Alligator mississippiensis: one gene and its partners. The protein of the gene in region 1 purifies or fractionates together with the protein of each later gene. This does not show direct contact. Links are inferred from orthologs where the notes say so. Each region holds a gene or a part of one and is shown in the gene's direction. Other genes may lie near its edges. The genes, in order: RUNX2, SMAD1 and UBTF.

Region 1 (7,390 bases):
GTGAACATTTTTTCTGAGTAATGATAAATGAGAAAGTTAATAACCCAAGGCAACATAAAACAATTATGTTACTTACTACTAAATAAATGTATCACTGATTAACAAAGGCTTACTGTCATCTTAATCTGTCATAGTGGTTTTCTGTTCAGATTTAAACTGATCTTTAACAGTATGAGTTCAATGAAAAGGGGGCAGACAACCAAATATTTGCTTAACCTGGGAAGAAAAAGCTACTTTTTTCCCCCACAATCTGTGATTTCTAAATCAATCAAGCAGCTTCATATCTTTCTTGTTAAATTAGTGCATGGAAGTCAAGGGAGAATAAGACGCAAAGAGGAGCATCAAAGTGGATACATTTGTCATTCATTTGAATATCCCTCATTTATCCTGCAGATGCCCAAAAAAACCTCTGACAAGAGTCAGTATTTTTAAAAAGTGGCATTAGGAAAAAAAACCTAACTTGTAAGAGTATTTTTACTGGATGTTATTTTATTAATAGGTACTTTCACATTCCATTAAAGAGAAGGAAAAATCTTTTATATTAACATTCAGGCTGTATTAAGCAACTATAAAGATGCTGGAAGTGAAAAATCCCAGTCTACACAGCCCATCCACAAAATATGAAAATACTACAATTATACACATTAGGACAGAATAAGTCTACATCAATTTAGTAAGAACTACCAAAAAGTAAATTCCAACACCACTAAGAAAACTATAATGGAGGGTGAGAATGGCTTCTGATTGTGAGATGCTGAAACCAAGCACACGGGTTGGTTCAGATACAGAAAAATGTAGCACCAATAGATACGGATCTAAGGAATAAAATCTGTCGAGTTGAAGCATCTGAAGTAGTAATAAAGGGTATTATCTATGTCACTTTGTGTGGAAAACTATTAAACTATCATCTACTCGTTGAATAAATTACACTTAGTTGCAAGACCATCATCCTACCAGAGTAAGTAGAATTTTTAAACCCCTCTAACCATAGCATCAAAACAAATTTAAGTACAAATAAACTTTCCCCAGTGAATCGTACTGTTTATTTGCTGTATAAAAAGTATGAGCGACAAAAAGCAAAATGTTTGGAAATAAGATAAAGCAAATCTTTAAAGGTTTTCAAAACAAATTTCCAAAAAGATAAAGGATACGATGGCATTAGGTTTGTATTACAATTGATTTTAATTTCAAAATGAGATTTAATTTGTCATCAAAGAACTAGTCCATAATTTACAAAGCAAATTCTTTAACTTGATACTCCTTTTGTAAGTGTAATTGTATCAGTGACTTAAAGTATCCCCTGTGGATTTTTTTTAAGTTAACTTTGATTTTTTTTTTTTTTTAGTTCTGCCATTTAAACAAAAGACTGTCAAATGTATGACTGCAATCAAGAGACTTGTTTACACAACAGCTTTTCAAAATTCAGATTTCTTCTTCATTGCACTAAAAGTGCAAACTATTTTTGAAGAAAGGGGTTGCCAGGTATTGAGTTGAAACACAATTTTGCTTGAAACCTCCTCCCCCCACCACACTATACCCACTAAAAAGGAAACATTTCCAATGCCAAGAAATATTTAAATTCCAAATTAATAGAGAAAACATGTTTAAGAACTACACTCCAACCAGACACTGGAACAAGTTTTTATATTGTTTGGTAAACTTTACCATGCTAAATAGAAAATTTATTTTAGTGATTTAAATCTTAAAATCTAAGTTGAAAAAGCTCCATGGTGCTACTCAAAAAATTATACCTCGCAGATAACATATTAAAAGGGAACATTGGTAAATAACCTTACAAATATATCAGTGAAAGAATGAAACAGACAAACAAACAAAAAGCCCCAGCTATCTTGAAGAATTAAAGACATTATTTCAATTTACAGAAGTTAAAAAAGAAAGATACAACACCTCTGTGGCAAGTTTCTTTTCAGACACTGAAGAACTGACTAGTAATAAACTTCTTCGGTTTTAAAATTATAAAGGATGGTTTTCAATGAATGAAAAAAAATTAGTCTGCCGGCAACATTTTAGTTATAAGAAAATTAATTTTCATTACCATAATATGCAAACTGATAAACATTTTCAATGTGTTACTGAATTTGCAGAAGTCTGCACTTTGTACAAATTCTGTGAACTGAAATTCAACAAATTATAGGGAAATGCCCTCTAAATGCTTTTATTACATTAAAAGTTAATTAAACTTCTAACCTAAACAAATATACTTTGTTTTTATGATACAATTGCCAGTAAAGTCAATCATTTTTACCACCTTACCTTTTTTGTTTCCAGTGATGGTCGTACCATAATATAACATTTAGAGGTACAAGAAATGCATCTTCAAAAGGGACAAGTTAAATAATGGTTTTTACTTTTTTACATGACAGTTCACTGTATAACTCCTAATTTTAAGAAGAATTCTGGAAATGTGGCAACTTTTAAGAACTGAAAATGTTCCAAAATACAAGCACAGTATACATTGTAATAGGCATTATGACAGAGACGTTGATAAACAAAATTATTTTATGTTTTTCTGATACATATCAGCCCTCCAAAAAAGAAAACTTTCACAAGTTGTGATTTTAATTGAAAATTCCCCTTTCCCATTTCCTCACCTCCATCCACCAAAAGGGGAAAAAAAAAGGAACAAAAGGCAAACCCGGTCTCCACCCACTTTTCCATTTATTAGTTTCACACCACTTCTGGTCATTTTCTTATTCGGGAAGTAGGGGTAGGAAGAATGGGGAAGCAAGAGGGAGGTTAGTTGCCAGGGATATAGACATCAGAAGTGATACAAATACAGGCTGAAAATCCTTAGCAACTTTCTTTTACTGCCATGCTTCTATCCCTTCCCCGCATATACCAAAAATCCTACACTCTGATGAAACTATAAAATGCAGTGCCCAAGGTATACAATCATGCTAACAAGAAAATGAGTTCTACATATAAATGTCCAAAGGGGCAAAAATAAGACAGTTTCCCAAAGATGTTTCCAATTTTGTTCTGAATCTGAGTGAGCAAATCAAGACTACTAATACACACTGTCTGTGCATATTATTCCTTACTATGCACAGCATTTTGCAATTTATTTCAAAGCCTCTATTATAAACACAAAAAAATACTGCTGCTGTTAACCCATTCTGTACTGGTATAGTAAAAAGTTTATGCTACACAAAGTCAAAGTTAAATATGTGATAATATTGTGAATGCACACACAAACCTGATATAAGTGTTCAAATCCAACATATGCATCAAATTTATGCTTCATCTTTAAAATAGATGTTAACAGTAACTGCTGAATAAAGTTATTTACAGTGTCCCAAAAAGTCTAAAGTCTATGCTGTTCCTCTGTAACATTAAAATTATAAGAAACAATTAATGTAAGTGCAATCAAAATCCCACAATCCATACAATTCATTATGTTAAGCGTCCATATTAAATCCCTACAACAGTTTTTATTCTAAAAGCACAATGTATAAAGCAGTACCCAAATAATTTACAGCATCCAAATGACACTCTGTACAATATACAAAAGGTATATAATTACACTTAAATGTCATTATATAAAACTGCCAGCTAGTCTTGAATACATGTAAGCAAGACAGACATGATTTAAAATTTGTAAAGGAATCCCGAGACTAACACTTCTATGACAGCCAATTACAGTACAAAACAGCCCCAACAAGCTGCTACTAGACCTTACGAAAGGTAAAATTTCTTACAATGAGTTACAGATTCACAAGTATAAGAAGACAAGAAGAAAAAGTAAAACAGAAGGAATCCAGCCACCCAGCAAATATGAAGCAGACCCAAGATCGTGATACAATCCAAAGATGTAAATTATTGTAAATCATCACTGTTGTTCAGAATTTCACACAGCCACTTGCGCCAATTTTGCTCACTTTGCCACAGACACAATAATAAGCTAGAGACAGGACGGGGGGGGGGGGGAAGAAAAAAAAAAAAAGAGGGGGGAAAACCTGAAGTGAGAGTACAAATAAAGTTCTGCTGTCCATATGCTTTAACTGTACAGGAGTTTGGGCTCTTTCACATTTTGTACTCCCTCCAAATCCTCATGAGTCACAAAAATTAAAAAGCTATATCCTTCTGGATGCCAGGAAGGGCCTTACCACGGGCCTTTTGTCAAAATAAAAAAAAAAAAAATAGAAAGAAAGAAAAAGCCACAGTGGTAGGCAGTCCCACTTTACTTTGAGTACTCTGATGTCACAAACCACATGATTCTGTCTCTCCAGTAACAGTGCTTGCAAAAAAAGGAGTTTTAAAGCTTTTGCTTTTTTGGATTGTGTGAATGCTTCATTCGCCTCACAAACAACCACAGAACCACAAGTGCGGTGCAAACTTTCTCCAGGAGGACAGCAAGAAGCCTCTGGTTTTTAAATGGTTAATCTCCGCAGGTCACTACCAGCCACTGAGACCAACAGAGTCAGTAAGTGCTGTCTAACCACAGTCTATGCAGTAATAGTAGGTCCTTCAAATATTTGCTCATTCTCTTTTTTTTTTTGTTTTGTTTCCTTGCTTTTCACATGTTACCAGCGCTTCACAATTTTTTGACAGAAAAAAACAAATATAGGAGTCTATGCACTCCAAGCACTCTGTAAAACTAAAGGAAGGTTTGGCTATGGTTTGTGTTTGCAGTTTAAGGCTCCAAGCAGCACTTACATCAGAAGGTACAAGTTCTGTGTGAAAAGAGAGGGGGACTATGGCATCAAACAGTCTGTTCAGCTCAGTGACACCATGTCAGCAAAACTTCTTTTGGGGTAAGTACCACAATCCGTTTTTAAATTTTCTGAGTAAGCACTGGGCATTGTCACAACAGAAAAACAAACTTGTTGAATGATATATTATGGTTTGAAGATGGGAGATTTAGTCAGGTGAAAAAAAAACGTTACTGTAAGTAATACGTGCATATTAAGAACGACACTGTTAACTGAAAAGCTAGGCAACATGAAATCACCAGCTTATACCTTGGCATTTGACAGCAGGTGTGCTCATCTGTCACCTATCTGACTCCATGTGTACTGCGACATGTACTTGGAGACGTACGATGCTGCTTTGAACTAGGTAAAAAGCTAAAGTATTAAATTAATAGAATCAACCACATCTTACAATACAAGGTGAAGAAACTAGGAATAAAATGGGACATTTCTATACAGTTATAACATGACTGGGTAATCAAATTACTGAAACAGAAGTAAGTTACATGATTTAACAGCCAGTTCTCTGTATCTGAAAAAAAGTTAGTAAAATATCAGATTCAACCAAAGAACCTTGTCTGCCTAGATAAAATATAGCATCTGAAATCCTTTCCTGCACATCACTGCCCTAGCAATTGTCCTAGATGTCTCAAATTAAACTTCATCTAGTAATATGCTAACAGGAATCTGTTAGACCAACAATCTGTTAATGTTTCCACTTTTTCACAGCAAGGCATGGTTTACAATGCATCAATGCTCCGATACAGTTTTTCTAACCATACTTAAGTCAAGACTAAGCAAAGAGCAGTTTCTGCATTAAAAAAAAAGCCACCAAAAAACCTGAAGTTTCAAAAAAGTGGATGAAATTAGCATTTTTAAAGCTACTTTATATAATGGTATGTTGCCAAATATTGGATTAAATATTCAGATCTGTAAACACAGATGTCTTAAAACACCTTCATAAAATCATGCAATTATGAATTAGCATTCCACATATGCATGTACCATGTAGATTTACATGCATGACCCTACTGAGAGTACACACATTGTACTTCTAACATCATTTAGCTCCAAACCTTTTATTCTTCTCAGATCTGCTGTTGGATTCAATATACATCAATGTCTTTTGAGATAGAGAACCCCTATATAAAACTGAACGAGACTAACTTTTGAGTGATTTGTATAAAATCTTAAATGCTTTCAAACTTTCGTTTAAAAGGGCAATAGCAAAATGCTGACCCCTGATCACATTTGATCAGTGGTCAGACACATATGAAAGATTTCTCACTGAGTCATTTAAGACAGAGGAAGAAAACAAACTGAAAGAACAGTAAAACATTTTCAAAACTTACAAAATTTTCTTAATGCTGTCCATCATGATGAAGCTATAATGGGGCTGTAGTTAAACCTATTTCCTTTATTCCTCCCTTTTTTTCCTAGTCAAAAAGATGCTACATATGCTTTCAGTATAGATTAAGCTTGTATTGCAACTAGCTGATGGTTGGAGTTCCTTTTACCCCTCCTACTTCACGCATTGCAACTGGCTCCTATCTAAGCACATGAATGTAGTTTAAGTCTATGAGCACAATTAGACATAAAGAAAAAGCTTTAAAGGAACAGAGAACTGTTGCGTTTAAAATGCACATAGGCACTGGAAATGCTACATCTCAGTACTGTCTACAATTGCTCTAATAGTTATACCTCACAGAAAAACTGGAGTGAAGTGCGGATACAAAAAATAGTCTTTAAATTGTAGGCAGCATTTCTACTAAAACTGCTCTCTTAATGAAGCACAGCAGAAGTGTAGCCAGACCACATTATCCCAGTGTTTACAACAGGAAATACAGTTTACATGTATAGGGACTTTCTTTTGCTTTTACTTCCAAAAGAGATTAGAAGAAAGTAAGTTGGCTAAAATTATCATAACATGCAGTGCCGACTGCTGAATTAGTCTACTTTTGGTCATTCTTTAACCTACTGCAAAGTGCTATAACCGGGACAATGAGTTCTTCCGAATTCTGTGTAAAAGAAGGGTATGTAAATATATCCTTAGAAACAAACTACAATGAATGTCTAAAACAAAATTTCTCTCATATCAACGTCATCAGTATACCTGAAAGTTGTGAAAATACCTATTTTCATGTTTACGCTTTATTGTAAAGAAAAAAAGAGCCAAATCACTCATCCATTTATTGTTTCCAAACTACTAAGGCACTTTTGCAGTTGCTTATGAGAATGCACAATTAGATTATCATTTTAAGTACTGTCAGGTTTGGCATTTAATCTCTTCCAATTCTGTTCCACGATTTATTCCAACTGGAACTGCAGCATGAATCACGTCTCTGAATTACGTACCTGCTAATCTGTTTCAACCTGTGGTATTTCTGCAAATTTTCATATCACCTGATGCGGGGAGGGGTCTTCTGTAACTTCAAGAGCATACAGTCTTATTCCTTTAAGTCTGAATTATCTAAACACTAGGTTCTGTACTCATTAGACTAATTCTGCTCAACAGGTATGCTCTGAACTGAATCCAAGTTTGAGTGTGTTCTATTTGTATATGCCTTCCTTTCAGTTTTTTTAAATTTAAGCCTACCAATTCAAATAGGCTAAGGCTCTCATAATTTTGCCTTTTGTTCAAAGTGAATCAATACTAAACTGCTTGGAATAAATAGTAT
Region 2 (7,655 bases), on another chromosome or scaffold:
GTGGTATATTTGGTGTACTAATAGCATGCCTGCTTACCAAAGAGATGGCTGAAGTTTAGTTAGGAAGTTGCATGCTCTTGAGGCAGAGGTCCAGGGCTAGAAAACTTGACTGTTACTCCTATCTCTGCCACAGACTCCTTTTGTGACTTAGGGAGATTATTTTACAGGCATTTATGAATATTTTTATATATGTGAGTAAGTAAAATTTATTCCTGTAATTTATAAAGCCTTGGCTATTCTGTGCCTCTATCTCCCTTGTGTTTTAAAGCTAAGTTAATATCACACCTAATGCTTATATACACAGGGAAATTTATAGAATAACTCTAGAGGTATAAGTATCCCCATATAGCTATGCCAGAATATATCTTCATATAAACAACCCCTTTGTTTCTACCCCACATTTAGGTCCCCATTCATTCATTTCAGAATTGGAGCATGAGTTTAATAATATTTGTGATGCACTTACATGGTCAATAGAAAAATCCCTATAATTACTTATGCATGTAGACCCTCAAATCAGCTCCAACTCCAGCTTCTGGAGCATAATCTTGCAACCTAGATGGAGCTCCTTTGATTCATAACCATAGTATGGCAAGATTCCGTTCACACAAGTTTGATTGCATTAATAGGTTTAGTTCATTGATTCTCAGCCAAGGTGCCACAGCAACCTGGAATGCCTTGAGATCCTTTCAAGTGTACCACGCGGTGCCACACAATGTTAGCACTCTCTGGTGTACAAACACATTTCACAAAATAAACCCACAGATTTCAAATAATACTCCCTTCCTAAAAGCATTCTATCCTGTTGTGATCTTTGTGAGTTCTTTGCAACACAAGAATTGCTGTAGTGTTTTCTGTAGTCAAAAAATCAAGTGAAAACTAACATCTGGAACTTTTGAAGGGGTGCCTTGAGCCCTAAAAGGTTGAGAACCACTGAAGTAATAGGATTAATTTGCCTGAATCAGCAATATTTCCCTAAGGAATGCTTAGTTGGGTTGAAGTCCAAAACATCTTACATACATGGGGGGAGGGGTGGGGGCTGAAAAGTACTATATACAGCCAGACTAGTATGGCTAAGTACAGATGGTCAAGAAGCCAGAGACAGAATCAATTCAATCTTCATAGCTTAATCTAAGATGTGTAGATTAAACCAATAAGCAAGTGAACAGACATTCACTTTTGATTCTGGAAATGCAGCCACACGTCCTTGCAGTGCCCAAAGCCAGAAGTGGAGGGGGTGCTATAACAGACCTCCTTCCTTGGCTGAAGCAGACAGCTTGGGCCAAAGCTAGCCTGCCCACCAGGGGGGCAGGGAGGGAATGGGGGTTGTGGGAGAGGTGCAAAGCATCCTGGGATTCTGGGACACTAAACTTGAATCTGGAGGGGGATCTGAGACAGAAGTACATAAGTTCAATAAACTGATTGAACCTAAACCTGTTAAGTCTGATATTACATCCATCCAGGTTTATCTTAAACCAATTTCAGCCATTCTGAAAGTGATTTATGTACACTGAACTTCTGTTGTGTTACAGATTTGAACTGGTTTTCAATCACTTATACTGGTTTATGTGTAATTTCTGGCTCTCACCTATTCATTGATTAATACCAATTCAAACTGTTGAGTGAACATTGAAAATCATAGTTATTTTTCATGGTTTCATAGAGACTGAATACCCTGCACATGGTAGCTATGTGGTACATAGTTGGTATATGTTGATGCAATTTAGATCACATAGTGTGTTTAAAGCAGACACTGGCTACAGGCTAAGGGTAGCAAGGCAACAATAAGCAATGAGCCAAGCTGCTTTCTGTTCCTGGAATCCAAGAGTAGAGGTCATCTAGGGCCCTGCCACACATTCAAATTAAAGCTGAATAGAAACCAGCAATAGAGTTGTTTACACACTTTCAAGAACTAACTTTATAGCTGGTTGACTAATTTTACAGCTGCATAGTCAATTTTATGTGTGATAGTTACTTTGCAGGTGTGGCCAGTTTAAATTTATTGTGCAATTCACCAGTTAATACTTTGCACTTGTCAGGGTCTTACTTTGCATGTGTGACTAGTCTACGTTTATTGCAGGATTCACCAGTTAATTGTGTGGTAATTACTTTGCACCTGTGGCCCAACTCATTTACATGTGAGTAGTTCACATTTCATAGAATCATAGAAAAGTAGGGTTAGTCCAACCCCCTGCTCAAAGCAGGACTATCTCCAACTAGATTATCCCAGCCAAAGCTTTATCTAGCCAGGTCTTAAAAACCTTCAAGGATAGAGCTTCCACTGCCTCTCTGGGTAACTTGTTCCAGTGTTTTACTACCCTCCTAGCGAAAAAATTCTTCCTACTATCTAACCTAAACTTCCCTTGCTGCAACTTGAGACCATTGCTCCTTGTTCTGTCATCTGCCACCATTGAGAACAGTTCAGTTTAGCTTAGTTTAATTTAGTTTAGCTCCATCTTCTTTGTAAGTACTCCTACAGGTAATTGAAAGCTGCTACCAAATTCCCCCCTCCCCTCAAATCTGCTCTTCTCCAGACTAAATAAGCCTGGTTCCCTCACCCTCTCCTCATACATCATGTGCCCCAGCTCCCTCACCATTGTGTAGGTCGTCTCTGCTAAACTCCCTAATTGGCTTACATCCTTTCTGTAGTGGGAGGCACAAAAATGGACACAGTACTCAAGATGTGGCCTCAGTAGTGGTGAAAAAAGGGGCACAAGGTTCTTTGGGTAAATCTGATATCTTTTATTAGACCAACTACATAGTTGGAAAAATTATTCTTTACAGGCGTTTAGGCACAAACACCTTTCTTTAGGCATGAATAGAGGGGAAGAATCAGTTCCCTTGATCTGCTGGCAACACTCCTAATGCAGGCCGGTATGCTGTTAACTTTTTTCACGAGGGCACACTGCTCATTTACTGCAGGATTTACTGGTTAATTGTGTGTGTGTGTGTATGTGTTATTTTTTGCAGGGGGAATTCAATTTATTGTGCAATTCACCAGTTAATTGAATGGTAATTATTTTGTACCTCAGGCCTTCTTGCTTTGTATGTGTGGCTGGTCTACATTTATTTCAGGATTTAGTTAATTGTGTGGTAACCAGTTAACAGTAACCAGCAGTGTGTGGGATAATTCTTTTGCATATGTGGCAGGTTTAAATTTATTGCAGGATTCACCAGTTAATTGTGGGTAATTAGTTTGCACTTGTGGCCCATCTTGCTTTGCATGTGTGCCAGTCTACATTTCTTGTGGGACTTGCTGGTTAGTTGAACAGTAATTACTGGTACAATTGGTCTACATTTATTGCACAATTCATGAGTTAATTGTGTGGCAGTGCCCTTCAAATTGTGGCTCACTTGCTTTGTATGTGTGGCTGGTCTACATTTATTGCATGATTCAGTGAATTACTGGTAACCAGTTACCATTTAATGGTGTGATAGTTACTTTGCATGTGTGGCTGGCTTGCATTTATTGCACGATTCATTGGTTAACTGTGTTCATTACTGTGCAGGTGTCCCAGTCTACGCCTATTGTGGGACTCACTGTGTAGTCATTACTGTGCATGTGTGGGTAGTCTACATTTATATTATGCCAGTGAATTGCTGGTAACCAGTAACCAGTTAATTAGTAGTAATTTGCTTTGCAGCTGTAGCCAGTCAGCACTTTCTGTGATTTGCTGGTTAAGTGCGCTGTGGTGCCTTTGCTATTGGCTGCGACCTTGCAGCTACATTTATTGTGGGCTTCCCCAGAGAATGGCATGGCAATTACTTTGGTGGTACAATTGGTCTGCACTTATTGCATAATTCACCTGTTAATTGCATGGGAATTACTTTACACTTGTGGCTCTCTTGCTTGTCTCCATTTACTGAGTGATTCCATGAATTGCTGGTAACCGGTTACCAGTAATTCACTCCATCATGCAGTAAACATAAGACTAGCCACCCGTGCAAAGCAATTGCCACATAGTTAACCAGCGAATCTCACAACAAATGGTGTGGTCATTAATTTGCATGTGTGGGCACTCTACATAAGTCAACCAGTGACTCTTGAACTGTGGGAATTGTTTTGCGTGGGTGGCCAGTCTATGTTTATTACTTGATTCGGTGTATTGCTGGCTACCAGTAGCCAGTTAATGGTGTGGTCATTACTTTGCACTCTACATCAACTGGTTATATACTGAATCACACAATCAATATGGACTAGCCAACCGTGCAAAGCAGTTTCCACGTAGTTAACCAGTGAATCTTGCAAAAAACGTAGACTGCCCACACATGCAAAGTAATTCCCATACCATTATCCGATAACCAGTAATGCAATGCACTGAATCACACACTCAATACGGACTAGCCACCCATGCAGAGCGATTCCCAAGTAGTTCACCAGCGCCCCTCGCAAGACGTGTGCAGCCCGCCCGCGTTTATGGCGCGATCCCCCGCGCAACATCCGTAACGTGTGTCCGTCCGGAGCAGCGTCCCGCGGCCGGGAGCAGCCCCCGCCCCCGGCCCCGCCCCGGCCCCGCCCCAGGCAGGGAGGCTCCCTCGCGCCTTTCCTCGGCGGCGGCTGGAGCAGCCCTGCGGCTGTGCGGGCGGCGGGGGAAGCTGGCCCGGCCTCCCGGCGGCGGGGCGGGAGCTGGGAGCGGAGCCCTGAGCCGGCGGCGGCTGCTGTGCAGGGCCCGGGGCGGCTCCGGCTCCGTGACGCCGCCGCGCGCAGCTCGACCCGGGCGCGGAGGAGGCAGCAGCGCGGGGCGCCCCGTCCCGGTAACCGCGGTGCGTGCGCTGCTGCTGGGCGGGCTGTGGGTGGAGGGAGCGCAGCTACACTTCACCTGACCGCTTCGCCTCCTGCTCAACCCCGGCCATGCCGGGATACCTCTGCAAGGGCCCGCCGCCACCGCTCCGGGTTTCCGCCGAGCTGCCTTTGTTGGGAGGAGGCCCGGGAGCTGCCTCTCCTCCTCCTTTGGACGCCTCGCCTCTTGCCCTGGCCCCATTGTGGGGAAGTTGCGGGAGTTGTGGGCAGCGCCACTGCCCTCCTTTTGTTTTGATTTGGGGAGAAAAACCTTTCTCTCCTCTTTTCCCTCAGCTTAGTCCGTCTGGCCTGGAGGGGGGGGGTTGTCTCTTGCTTTTTCTCTTTCCTCCTTCATCTCTTTCCTTCCCCCCTCCACAAGGAATCTGTGCTCCGAGGTCAAGGCGAGTTCACTCACAAAATGCTTCTCCTTCAGCAGGGCTGGATGCAGAGGGGTTTTCTCTCCTTGGGATCTTTTATTTATTTTTTTTTTTCTTCTCTGCCTTTGATGTGCTGGTGCTTCACAAGATGATGAGACTTGCCAGCCCTTCATCTTCTCTCCCTGCCTCACCCTCAGGTTCTTATTCAAGTTTCTGGGCATGCAAGCGGTCAGTCATGCACTCTTGCCAGGGCAAATCCTGCTGGATTTAGCCATGCACGTGTATGCAAGATGAGGGGAGGCGATGGGAGGCTGGGGTTCAGTCAAGACTGCTGTATTCTGCCCTTTGATACTGGTTTATCATCTGCAGGCAATGTGTGGATTGGCTTTTGTAGCTTGCTTAACACCATACATGAGTGTTTTTTTGCTTAGATGTAGGCAGAGACTTTATTTAAGTTTATTTGGGGGGCGGGGGAGAATAGATGCTGTGCCTGAGAATGGGTGCAACTTGTGACAATCAAGTGCTCCCCCAACCCTTTAATTTTTAATTTCCCCCCCTCTTTTTTCTTCCCCTTGCTCCCCCCCCCTTTATCAACTAGAGCAATAACAAATAGAAAAGATCGCTGCTCAGCTTTACTCCTAGGCATGTGCTTAGTTTATTGGAGGATAATTCAGGGGATCTGACATCTTTAGAAAATTGCATTTTAAAGAGAGGCTGTGCTTCAAGCAGGTTGTGGCTTAAAATCTGGCAGCTCTGTCTTTCTTGATTTGCTCCTTCCTTGAGTGTAAAACCTAGCTGTATTGTGGGACTTCTGAATATCATATAGTGTAGGGCTCAAAAGAGGCTCACCAAGCTGCGGAGACGACTCTTCTGTACCTGTGTCTCTGATTATGGTAGTTTTTCATGTGGCCAAGTGCCTACACCTCACTGTACCAATGAATGAGAATCGTGTGAAGGAACTTGCTGTGTTACAATTGATTTTAGTCTCATCTATGGTGCGTTAAATTTATGGGAGGTTTGCTTCCAGTTAAAACTGACAGCATAAAAATAAATCCATCTGAGCTGGAGATCTGTGTAGGGCAGTTGGTATAAGATTCTCCATTCACAGCTGGCATAACAAATATTATGTACTTGGTGTTTTGTTTTGTTTTTTCTTGACTCCTCTACAGTAATTGATTTCAGGCTTTCTTTATGCTAAATGAAACTTAACCTATTTTGGAATTCTTGTGATGGTGCTCAGGCTCTAATCCTGCAATTCATCTTGCACTGTAACTAGGGGTTTGAGAGGGACTTCTCAGGACTTGGGTGATCCAGGAGCCTTCTACCGCCTCCAGAGAGGATTAGTTCAAGGAAGCTCAGGTTACCCTAAACGGATTTGTCCTTGCTTTAGTTTTCACTGTTTCTTCCACTAGGTATGTAATCAAATACATTTTCCCCCTCTCTCGTCTCCCTCTCTACTTGCCATTTTTATTGTACCCTTGAAGATCTGATGATCTCACGTATTTAAAAAAACTGACTGGATAAACTGAAGGTTGAGGTTCTCTAGTTTCTGTGTTAATATTAACTGTCAAATATTAACACAGAGCTGATAAATTACTAGCATTTGAATTCTGATTATGTAATCAGGGCATAGTGAATAACATAATGAGGTGATATCAAGGTTGCTAAAACTGATGCTGCTTCTTTTACTAACTAGTTTTTTATTATTTTTGTACTAAAATCTGAGTCAATAGGTGCATGTTAAAAACAAATGTAGAACTCAATTAAAAAAAAATCTGGAAACAGTTATATTTAACATAGAGTAGGCGGGTCTGTGAAGTCCAAGTTGTGTGCATATATAAAAGCTCTCACTTGTGTAGCCTTACAAGGCTAATGGAGGCATCATCTCAGCTTTATAAATAATGTAAGTTGTGTATAATGTGGAGTCCCCTGAGACTGCAGAAAAAGCATCATTACCAGCCTTTTCAACGTGCTGGAGATCTTAAATTGATTTACAGCACTGTACTGGTGCAAAATGAGACATCAGGATGACATGGGGTCAACCTGTAAAAGTCTGTGATGTGAGCCTATTAGTTCAGTCATCATAATTAAACCATATTATGAGGGCAGCAAAGCAAGCGTCTGTGGCATAGCCCATTATGCTTCAAATATGGGTGGTGCAGTAGTTAAATAAAGAAAGCAACATATGTACAGTTTGCAAGATACGAAGAGGATTTGAAACTGGCACTTACAGCCTGAAGAAGAGAAATGTGTGAATATGTGCAGCTTGATTGTTAACCTCTTTCTGCAATGGTTATTAGCTGAAATAATAGAATTGTATAAACAGCATGTATTTTGTGGGGGAATTTAACTAAATTGTATTAATCATTTTCTGACCTGAAAAAATGATCAGTCTCTTCAGAGTGGCTACATAGTCTAACAACAAAGTGAAGAAAGCAGACAAACATCATTAATCTTTTTCTCCTGCATACTAGTGATCTTTCTTCTAATAAAAGGAC
Region 3 (7,819 bases), on another chromosome or scaffold:
GATACCCACTGCCATCATCTCTGTCAATGTCCAACACAGTGGAAAGCTGAAATGCCAATTACTGAGGTTTGCTATTAAAGTTTTGAAGCTGGCCTACATATCCTATACAAGGAGGTGGTATTCCTGCCAACAGCGACTGACAGCAAGCGATGCTGTGAATTGTTTTACACCCCAGTCCTGTAAACACGTATGTATGTACCTATGAGTAAGTTTCTCCACCTGACTAGCTTCAGCAAACATAGGGGTTCTGCTCACAGTTATTGATGTGCATAAGTGTTTGCAGGCTCACAGCCTTGGACACCTGAGTTTTGTTTCTGATGCTGTAACTCCGTTCAAATGGATAGACCCTTGCATCCTCAACAAGCTCCTAGAAGAAGCAGCTGAACTCCGCTTCAGTGCAGGACACCAGCTGCACAAATCAGGTCACAGCAGCAGGGCTTTTGATTACAACTTTGGGGGAATAATACAGCCTTTGGGCAACTTGATTTGTGTACAAATGGATGTTTCATAACTGGTAGCGTAGGCCAGTCTGGACTGATCAGCTGAGAATCATATGTTGGGTACAAAATGTATTGCTGTTAGTATTTATATTATGAGAGAACTGGAGACCCAAGCTTAGCATAGGTAGCTATTGGGCTATGTACCACATAAATGCCCCCAAAAGCTCATGTTCCCAATAGAGAAAAGCCCAAGCAAGAATGGGGCACAGGGCTTGGAAGGAGGAAATGGAACAGAAGTGACTTGCTCAGGTCTGCACAGGAGGGAAAGTGGCAATCAGAAGAAGGACATGGACACTGCACTGCAACTAGAGTCAGGACACCCATTAGGACATGTTGCTTTCATTCACCAAAACCTTTTAAGAAGAGTGGAAACATTTCACAGACTGCAGTTATGCCAATATCCATGCTATTCCAGTGGCCAGAAACATCAAATCTACTCAAAACAAAGGCACGAGTACAAAAGGTAGAGTGTCTTGCACTTTGCCATGTGTCAGCTTTTCTGAACCTTTTTTTTCCTCAAAGGTTACACACAAGAAAAGAGATTTGTATCTGAAGCTGTCGACAATTCTTTCAAGGCAGGGACCAACTTTGTGTTGCTTGTACAGCAGTGAGTACACTGGGGCCTGGAACTGCTAGGTATTATTGTAGTAGTATACAAAACATTTTATATATTAATGAATTTTGTAAATAGTGAATATTTAATAGCAGTAATTGATAAGTTTTACTACTACTATTAGAATTATTAATATCTGCCCATCAGTGTAGATTCATCCCTTGGTCTTCCCCATAACGACAGCCCTGACACTCATAAAGAGCTTCACATTCTCAAAGCAGTGCATGAATGTTAATTAATTTATATGAGGAGGGAAGAGTTTGTATTCCCCTGAAGGAAGAAACATTGTCTCAGTAATCAGGTACCAAGTACTGGTAATTTACTCCTCTCTATAGGTGACTGTAATGTAAGGATGGGGACATGGGCAGTCTTGTGGAGGGTGGGGTCAGCCAAGTACCTGAGCCAGTAGAATCCAGATCCACAGTCTAGGCCAAGGGAGTCAAAAGCAGATAATCAAAGTCACATTTCTAATCCCAAATTATATCCATGTTCATAGTCCAAGTCAGGCCAAAGGTCAGGAACTGGAGAGTCCAAACAGAGGACAGGATAGGTTAATATGAATGCTCCAAGCTAGAGCAAGGCTGAGTTATTACAGTGTGGAACATACTGAGTAGGCTAAGGCCTGGGTTTTTATACTCAGCCTAGCTGGCTCTGCAACCAGTCAGCTTGTCGCTTGCACCTGATGCTGCTCTGCAGCTAGGTGAGACTATTTATACAGCAATCTGCCCTCTAACTGTAACCAGGAAGAGGATAATGACACTAAGGAGTTTCTAGGGTGATGTCACTTAAGAACTAGGTCTTAGCCCCACTCTCACCCAGACTCTGGCACCAGTGGATTTATACACGATGTGTAAATAAAAAAAAAAGGCTTTGGTCCTCATCTGTTCATGAGCTCTGTACTGGTAGATCCTTAATACCAGCATGAAGCTCAATGGAGGTGGGGGGATTTGGGTATGGCTGCTCTAATTCTAGCCCTGGTGGTCCCTGATGGAATTGTTACACATTATACATGGGCTACACAGCTCTATTCACCCCATTTCATACCTGACAGCACAATGGTTGAAATGAGTGCAAAAATGCAAATTAAATGCAAAGAGCTTTATAAGTAGTGGGGGCTATAATGGCATATTCATGCACCACCTTTACTTGTGGCCCTCCATCACAAAACCTCTATAAAGTAAGCACCGCTGAAAGGAAGCTGCATCTGGAGTGGAGTATAATAGCCAAACTGATCACAATAGCCAAACACTGTTATGCAGCAGCAGCAACAGGAGGAAAATTTTGACCGAGGATATTGTGGGGAATCCCAGAGCTTTACTGAAATGTCTCAGCAATTGGCTGGCATTCCTTTTGCTAGCAAAAATTGTACTCTCACATTTTCAGGCCTGCCATGCTCTGATGCAAATCTGGTAGTTAGAGATGCATTTTTCTAGAAGTGGGCTAGACTTTTCCATCAGAACATTTTTTGTTGCTATAAAATGTTAATTTGTTGAAAGCTGTTTGCAAAAAAAAAAAAAAAAGAGTCCCTTTTTCTGAACTAAGAATAAAAAACCCACACCAAAAAATAACAAACCAAACCAAATCCATGTAGTAAATATGTCTACATTGTCAAAATGAGATATTTTTCCAAGCAAAACAGTTAATCTTTTTTCTGGTTTGAAATGATGTTAATGTAGCTATTTTAATTAATATAGATTTTTTTAAAAAGATTTAAAGATGAAAATACTGAAACTTATGAACTGACACAATTTGAGTTATTTTCCAGATTAATCATTTAAAAATATCTTCCAAAATTTGACTTTCCATCACACATTGGGACAAGAAAATACTTTGAAATCTCTTGTGGGATAGGCAAACCACTTCTCACCAACCTCTAATATCTATTAAAATGTGCACTTGCAACCTTTAATTATAGGCCTTAAAAAATACAGGCCCATTTGCCTGTACGTGAATTGCTTGGATTAAAAAAAAAAATGATCTGGCCTTTTCTATGCAAACTGCACAAACCTTCAATTTGTAAGGCTTAATCCAAGAGGATTGCTATTTTTTTTCCACCAAAACAGAGTAGCTCCTGGGTGAGCCACCATTTAGCACACCTCAACAGCACAACATGAGAGCAGGAAATGAAACATTCAGGAATCCTATGACAAGTATATAATTCCAAGGGGTTGTGGGGGGAGGGGGGGGTCTCTCTAAAAGCATGGTTTCCTAACATCCTGGGTAGGATTGATTCTAAAATAGGTTCTCCCTAGTCACTAGCTCTTTAAATTAATCATCATAAATGGACAAAACAGTAGTACATTTAGCAGGACCATCTGATACACCGTTCCATTTTCCATATATAATGTGTGTGTACTTATGTAAATAAAATATATATAAAACCGTGTGTGCATAAATCTGTGTGCATATACATATGTGTGTGTACACGCACACACTATCCTCTCTATATAAAGATCCCTCGTGGCTGATGCATATCCAATGCAACAGGACACAACAGCAATTGCAGGAGAGAAGAATCCTTGCACTGGTAAAGAAACGGAAGCCATGCACCCCCTCCTCTCAATCTGCGGATTTTAGATTAGGTCGTCGTTCCGTCCTCCCCCCCCCCCCCAACAGCTCATAACACCTAATTGCATTTTTTTTGTCTGTAGGAGCGGTTTGCTTATTGGGATTGCCATTAATTTGACAGGCAGAGCTCAGGCAGGGGATTGGCTAGCAGCAGATGACGCCCATAACAACAAAGGTGGAGTTGGAGAAATTACATTAAAAAAATTAAGAGAGAGAGAGAGAGAAGGAGAGAGGAAAAAAAGGAGAGGAAAACTCTCCCCTTCCCCGCCCCTCTGGCTGTGAAATGTACCAGTGTGTCAATTTCACGGTCTCGTTAAGAAAGCCCAGTGTGCCACGCAGCCCGGAGACGAGTGTGATCGCACTTCAGTCTGTACGTGCATTTCCTGGTGCAAGAGACACACAACAAAACTCCCCCTTATTTTTTTTTTGTCTTCTTCCCTGTGCGCTTGTTTACAAGGCAGCCACTTGCAGTGTAAGTTCTGCTTCTCCCCGTGCGCTGGTGCCAGAGCTTGGCCCGGGCCTCGGAACTTCGCAGGGAAAACCCGAATGCTCTCTTCTTTCCGTGCTAGGTGGGACTTGGAAAAAAACCCAAACCTTTTTATCTTTTTATGCTTTTTTTCCGGCCATGCATTTGAAATTAAAGCGAAGGGGACTGTTGGTGGCTCATGTGCCTGCTGCCAACGCCAGAAGAGGACTGTTGGAAGTGTCAGAAGAGGATTGTTGCTAATGTAAGATTTTTTTTTCCTCCTGTCTCTCTCTCTCTCTCTGCCTCGCTCTCTCTCTCTCCCTTTTCCCTCCTCCTTTCTTTTGGCTGGTGTTGCAAAAGCAAAGAGCAATAAAAAACACACACACACACACGCACATAGAGAGAGGCAGAGACACAGAGAGCCCCGTTAAGAGCCAGAAGAGAGAGTTTAAAAGAAGAGAGGAGAAGCCTGTCCCTAACAATCCCGCTTAGGGAGCAGATGGAAAAGTGGAGACTTGTGAAGGGCTGTGAGGTTGGCTAAGGATCCAGGAGCGAAAAGAGCCCGGCTGATTGGAAGAAAAAAGCAGAGAGATGGAGGCGGGGGAAGTGCAATCTCTCTGCGGGGACTGGAGCGAGTCCACGCCCGGGGCCAGCGCTGCAGAGCTGGCCAGCATTCAACCAGCGCTCCCCAGCTAAAGCACCCAAAAAGGCAGCCCCCGAGCCCCTGCTCCAGCCCGGGTGGTTTGCAGGTACGTGCCGTGGAGAAGCCAAGCCCCCTCCGACCTCCAGCAGCCAACGCGCCCGATGCAGCCCCCCGTTGCAAGGGAGGGTGGGTGGGAGAGAAGGATCAGGGGGAGGGGGGAGAAGGCACGATCCGAAGCGACGCTTGCTGCACCGGGCTGCTTTGCTGCAGCAGGAGCGCATGTGGAGCTCGCCATTACCCGCCGCTCTGGTTCGCCATCTGGGGCTGGAGGAGGCGCTTTGTTTCCTCCCCGGCGGGCTCCGGCGGCTGCTGCTCTCTCCAGCTCGCAGCCGCTGCTCGGTAAGGCGGGGACCGGGGCCGGCTGCAAGCGGGGGGACCGGGGCTGCGGCCGCGCGGGGGATCGAGCCGGATCCCCGCGCGCTGCGCGGCCCGGCGGGGAGGATCGGATCTGATCGGATCAGGTCGGATCGCCGTGGAGGTGGCGGCGATCGCGGCCGGACCCTGCGGCGGGAAATGGAGCGGGAGCAGGGGCCGGGCGGGGGAGCGGGAGCCGCGGCGGCAGCAGCAGCAGCAGGCGCCCAGCGCCGCAGCCCGGCGGTGCCTCCGCCTGCGGGGGGCCCGGCGCCGCACGGGGGCTCGGCGAGGGGGGAGAGCGCGAGGGCGAGGCGGCTGCTCGGCCTCCGCGCTGCCCCCTCCCTCCCTCCGCCCGCCTTCCCCGGCGGCTGCAGCTGGCTGTCGGGGGCAGGCTTCCAGCGCTGGGCGGTCGGTTGTTTTTCCCGAGCCTGCTAGTTCCGCGCCGGAGCTGCTGAGGTCGCCATCCCCGCCCGCCCGCCCGGCTCCTCGCCGCCGCCATCCGGAGGTGCGTGCCCGGGCGCGTCCCTGCCCTGCCCTGGCTGCGGCGCTGGGGTGGGGGGGGGCCGCGGCGCCGCTCCCCGGGGCCGGCGCGGGGAGGACGCGCTGCCCGGCCCCGAGCGGGGCCGCGGCGGCTCATAGCCCGGGCGGGGCCGCGGCGGGGCTCCGGCGCCTCGGCCGCGCCAGCCATTGTTCGCCCGCGCGGCGCGGCGCGAGTCCCGGCCCCAGCCCGGAGCCGCGGCGGCCCCATTGTCCCCGGCCGGGCCGCGGGAGGGCGCGGGGGAGGCGGCCCCGCGCCGCTGTCTCCGGCGGGCACCGAGCCGCGCGGCTGAGGCGGCGCCTGTCCCCGCTGGCGGCCGGGGGAGGGAGCGGGCGAGGCGGGAGCGGGGAGCCAGCAGGGGCGGGCGGGAGGAGAGAGAGAGAGAGAGAGAGAGAGAGGGAGGGCGGGAGGGAAGGGGCCGCCCGCAGCCGGCGCCGAGGCGGCGGAGTCAGCTCAGCTCGGCGCAGCGCAGCCCTGCCCTGCCCTGCTGAGCCGCGCCCGCCCGCCCGCAGCTGCCGCGCGCCCTGCGGTGAGAGCCGGGGCCGGGCGGAGCGGGGGCCGCAGCTCCCCGGGGGCGGGCGCGGAGCGGAGCGGGGGGCGCTGCCGGAGCTGCGGCGGAGGCCGGGCGCGGCGCGGCGCGGAGAGGAGGCCGCCTCGTCGGCCCGCAGGGGGTGGGGGAGGGCGGCGCAGCTGCCGGAGCCGTCGGTCCCAGCCGGGTGCTGCTGCCTGGAAGAGGAGGAGGAGACTGGCGCCGGCCGCAACTGCATTTGGGCAGGGGCTGCGCAGGGCATGTGGGGATCCGGCCCGCCCGCGGCCCTGCCCCCTCCCCCGGCCCGCGGGGATCCCTCCTCCCGCCCCCCCGCCGTGCCGCCCCCCCGCGCCGCGGTCCCTCCCCCGCCGCGCGGGACCCCCCCGCGGGCCCGCCCCCCCGCCCGGGATCCCGCCCCCCCGCGCGCGCCTCCCTTGGCTCCCCCCTGCCGGCCCGGCCCGGCCCCGCAACGGCGCTGCAGGCCCTACCTGCTGCTGCATGGGGGCGCCCCGCCGCCCCCCACCCCGCCGGCCTGGCCCCGGGGCAGGGGCGGGACCCCGCGGGCGCTCAGGTGTGCCCGGCCGAGACTGGGGGCGGGGGAGGAGCCTGGGGGGGGTGCCTCCCAGGAGGTGGCTTTTCCTACCTCCTGGCGTGGCTGGGCTCTTCCACTGCTCTCCCTCGGGGGCTACCGCCTCGACCCGGCCCCCGGGAGCCACCCTCCACTCACTCACCAGCAGGTGAAGGGGTGCTGTGCGCTCCAGCTCTTCCCTTTTGACTGGGAAAGGCTTCCTCTTGGAGTTGGGCAAGGGGTTTCAGTTCCCTTGACTATGCCTCTTCCAAGCAGAGGGGCTTTTTGCAAGCCATTTATAGCTCGGGTTTCCCTTTGCCTTTTAGAGTGAAGCTTACTTGATTTAAGGTAGACTCGGAAGGAGCCAGGAGGCCCAGAAGGGACTGCCCTTGGGTCAGACAGGTGGAGAATGAACGGAGAAGCGGAGTGCCCTACGGACTTGGAAATGACAGCTCCCAAAAATCAAGGTGAGAGTAGCCCCGCTGCCCAAGGATGCCTGGCTCTCCCCCAGCTATGCAAGGGACCCGGGTGCTGAGATCCCTTTACACCTCCCTTCCAGCTGTCTCTGGAAGACTCGCCCAGTTTTGTGCCCGTGAGCAGTTCCAGTTGGACGCTCCCGTGTGTGAAATCAAGCACTTGCATAACCGCCTGGGGGAAGGGGCTGCGAGAGCAGCGTCACCCATTCCTAGCATGCTTAGAAATTAGCAGGACACCTTCAGTTTGGGTTTAAGAGCCTGCCCAGTACGTTGACCAGATCCTGTTACGGATTTGGTCTTTACACCATTCTTTCTCCTAGCCCTTTCACGGGAATGCTGGAAAACATTGTTTCATGCTTCATATTGGCCCCTGAAAGCAAGTGATAAACCTAATAATATGCCACCCCACACTCGTTTGGTCGAGCTGCAGACATGGCAACAAGCCTGGCTGAATCAAACGGCCAGTGAGATGCTTTTAAAAAAAAAAAAGGACTAACTTTTATT

The links.
Region 2: the proteins of RUNX2 (region 1) and SMAD1 purify together in Homo sapiens (affinity purification with western blotting; 3 studies listed by BioGRID). This does not show direct contact. The link is inferred for Alligator mississippiensis from reciprocal best matches to the Homo sapiens genes RUNX2 and SMAD1.
Region 3: the proteins of RUNX2 (region 1) and UBTF purify together in Homo sapiens (co-immunoprecipitation; 3 studies listed by BioGRID and IntAct, with this or other methods). This does not show direct contact. The link is inferred for Alligator mississippiensis from reciprocal best matches to the Homo sapiens genes RUNX2 and UBTF.

Annotation. Positions count from the first base shown.
Region 1 is NC_081824.1:12,513,864-12,521,253, forward strand, and holds the start of RUNX2 (runt-related transcription factor 2), read left to right. Parts: upstream 1-4,365; 5' UTR 4,366-4,444; intron 4,445-4,653; 5' UTR 4,654-4,717; coding exon 4,718-4,775; intron 4,776-7,390. UniProt on the Homo sapiens protein: Transcription factor involved in osteoblastic differentiation and skeletal morphogenesis. Essential for the maturation of osteoblasts and both intramembranous and endochondral ossification.
Region 2 is NC_081825.1:101,104,946-101,112,600, reverse strand, and holds the start of SMAD1 (mothers against decapentaplegic homolog 1), read left to right. Parts: upstream 1-4,561; 5' UTR 4,562-4,755; exon of another isoform or gene 4,756-4,764; intron 4,765-4,928; exon of another isoform or gene 4,929-5,354; intron 5,355-6,459; exon of another isoform or gene 6,460-6,569; intron 6,570-7,655. UniProt on the Homo sapiens protein: Transcriptional modulator that plays a role in various cellular processes, including embryonic development, cell differentiation, and tissue homeostasis.
Region 3 is NC_081827.1:159,407,791-159,415,609, forward strand, and holds the start of UBTF (nucleolar transcription factor 1), read left to right. Parts: upstream 1-4,805; 5' UTR 4,806-4,896; intron 4,897-5,099; exon of another isoform or gene 5,100-5,189; intron 5,190-5,619; exon of another isoform or gene 5,620-5,709; intron 5,710-6,187; exon of another isoform or gene 6,188-6,271; intron 6,272-7,165; 5' UTR 7,166-7,248; coding exon 7,249-7,306; intron 7,307-7,819. UniProt on the Homo sapiens protein: Recognizes the ribosomal RNA gene promoter and activates transcription mediated by RNA polymerase I (Pol I) through cooperative interactions with the transcription factor SL1/TIF-IB complex.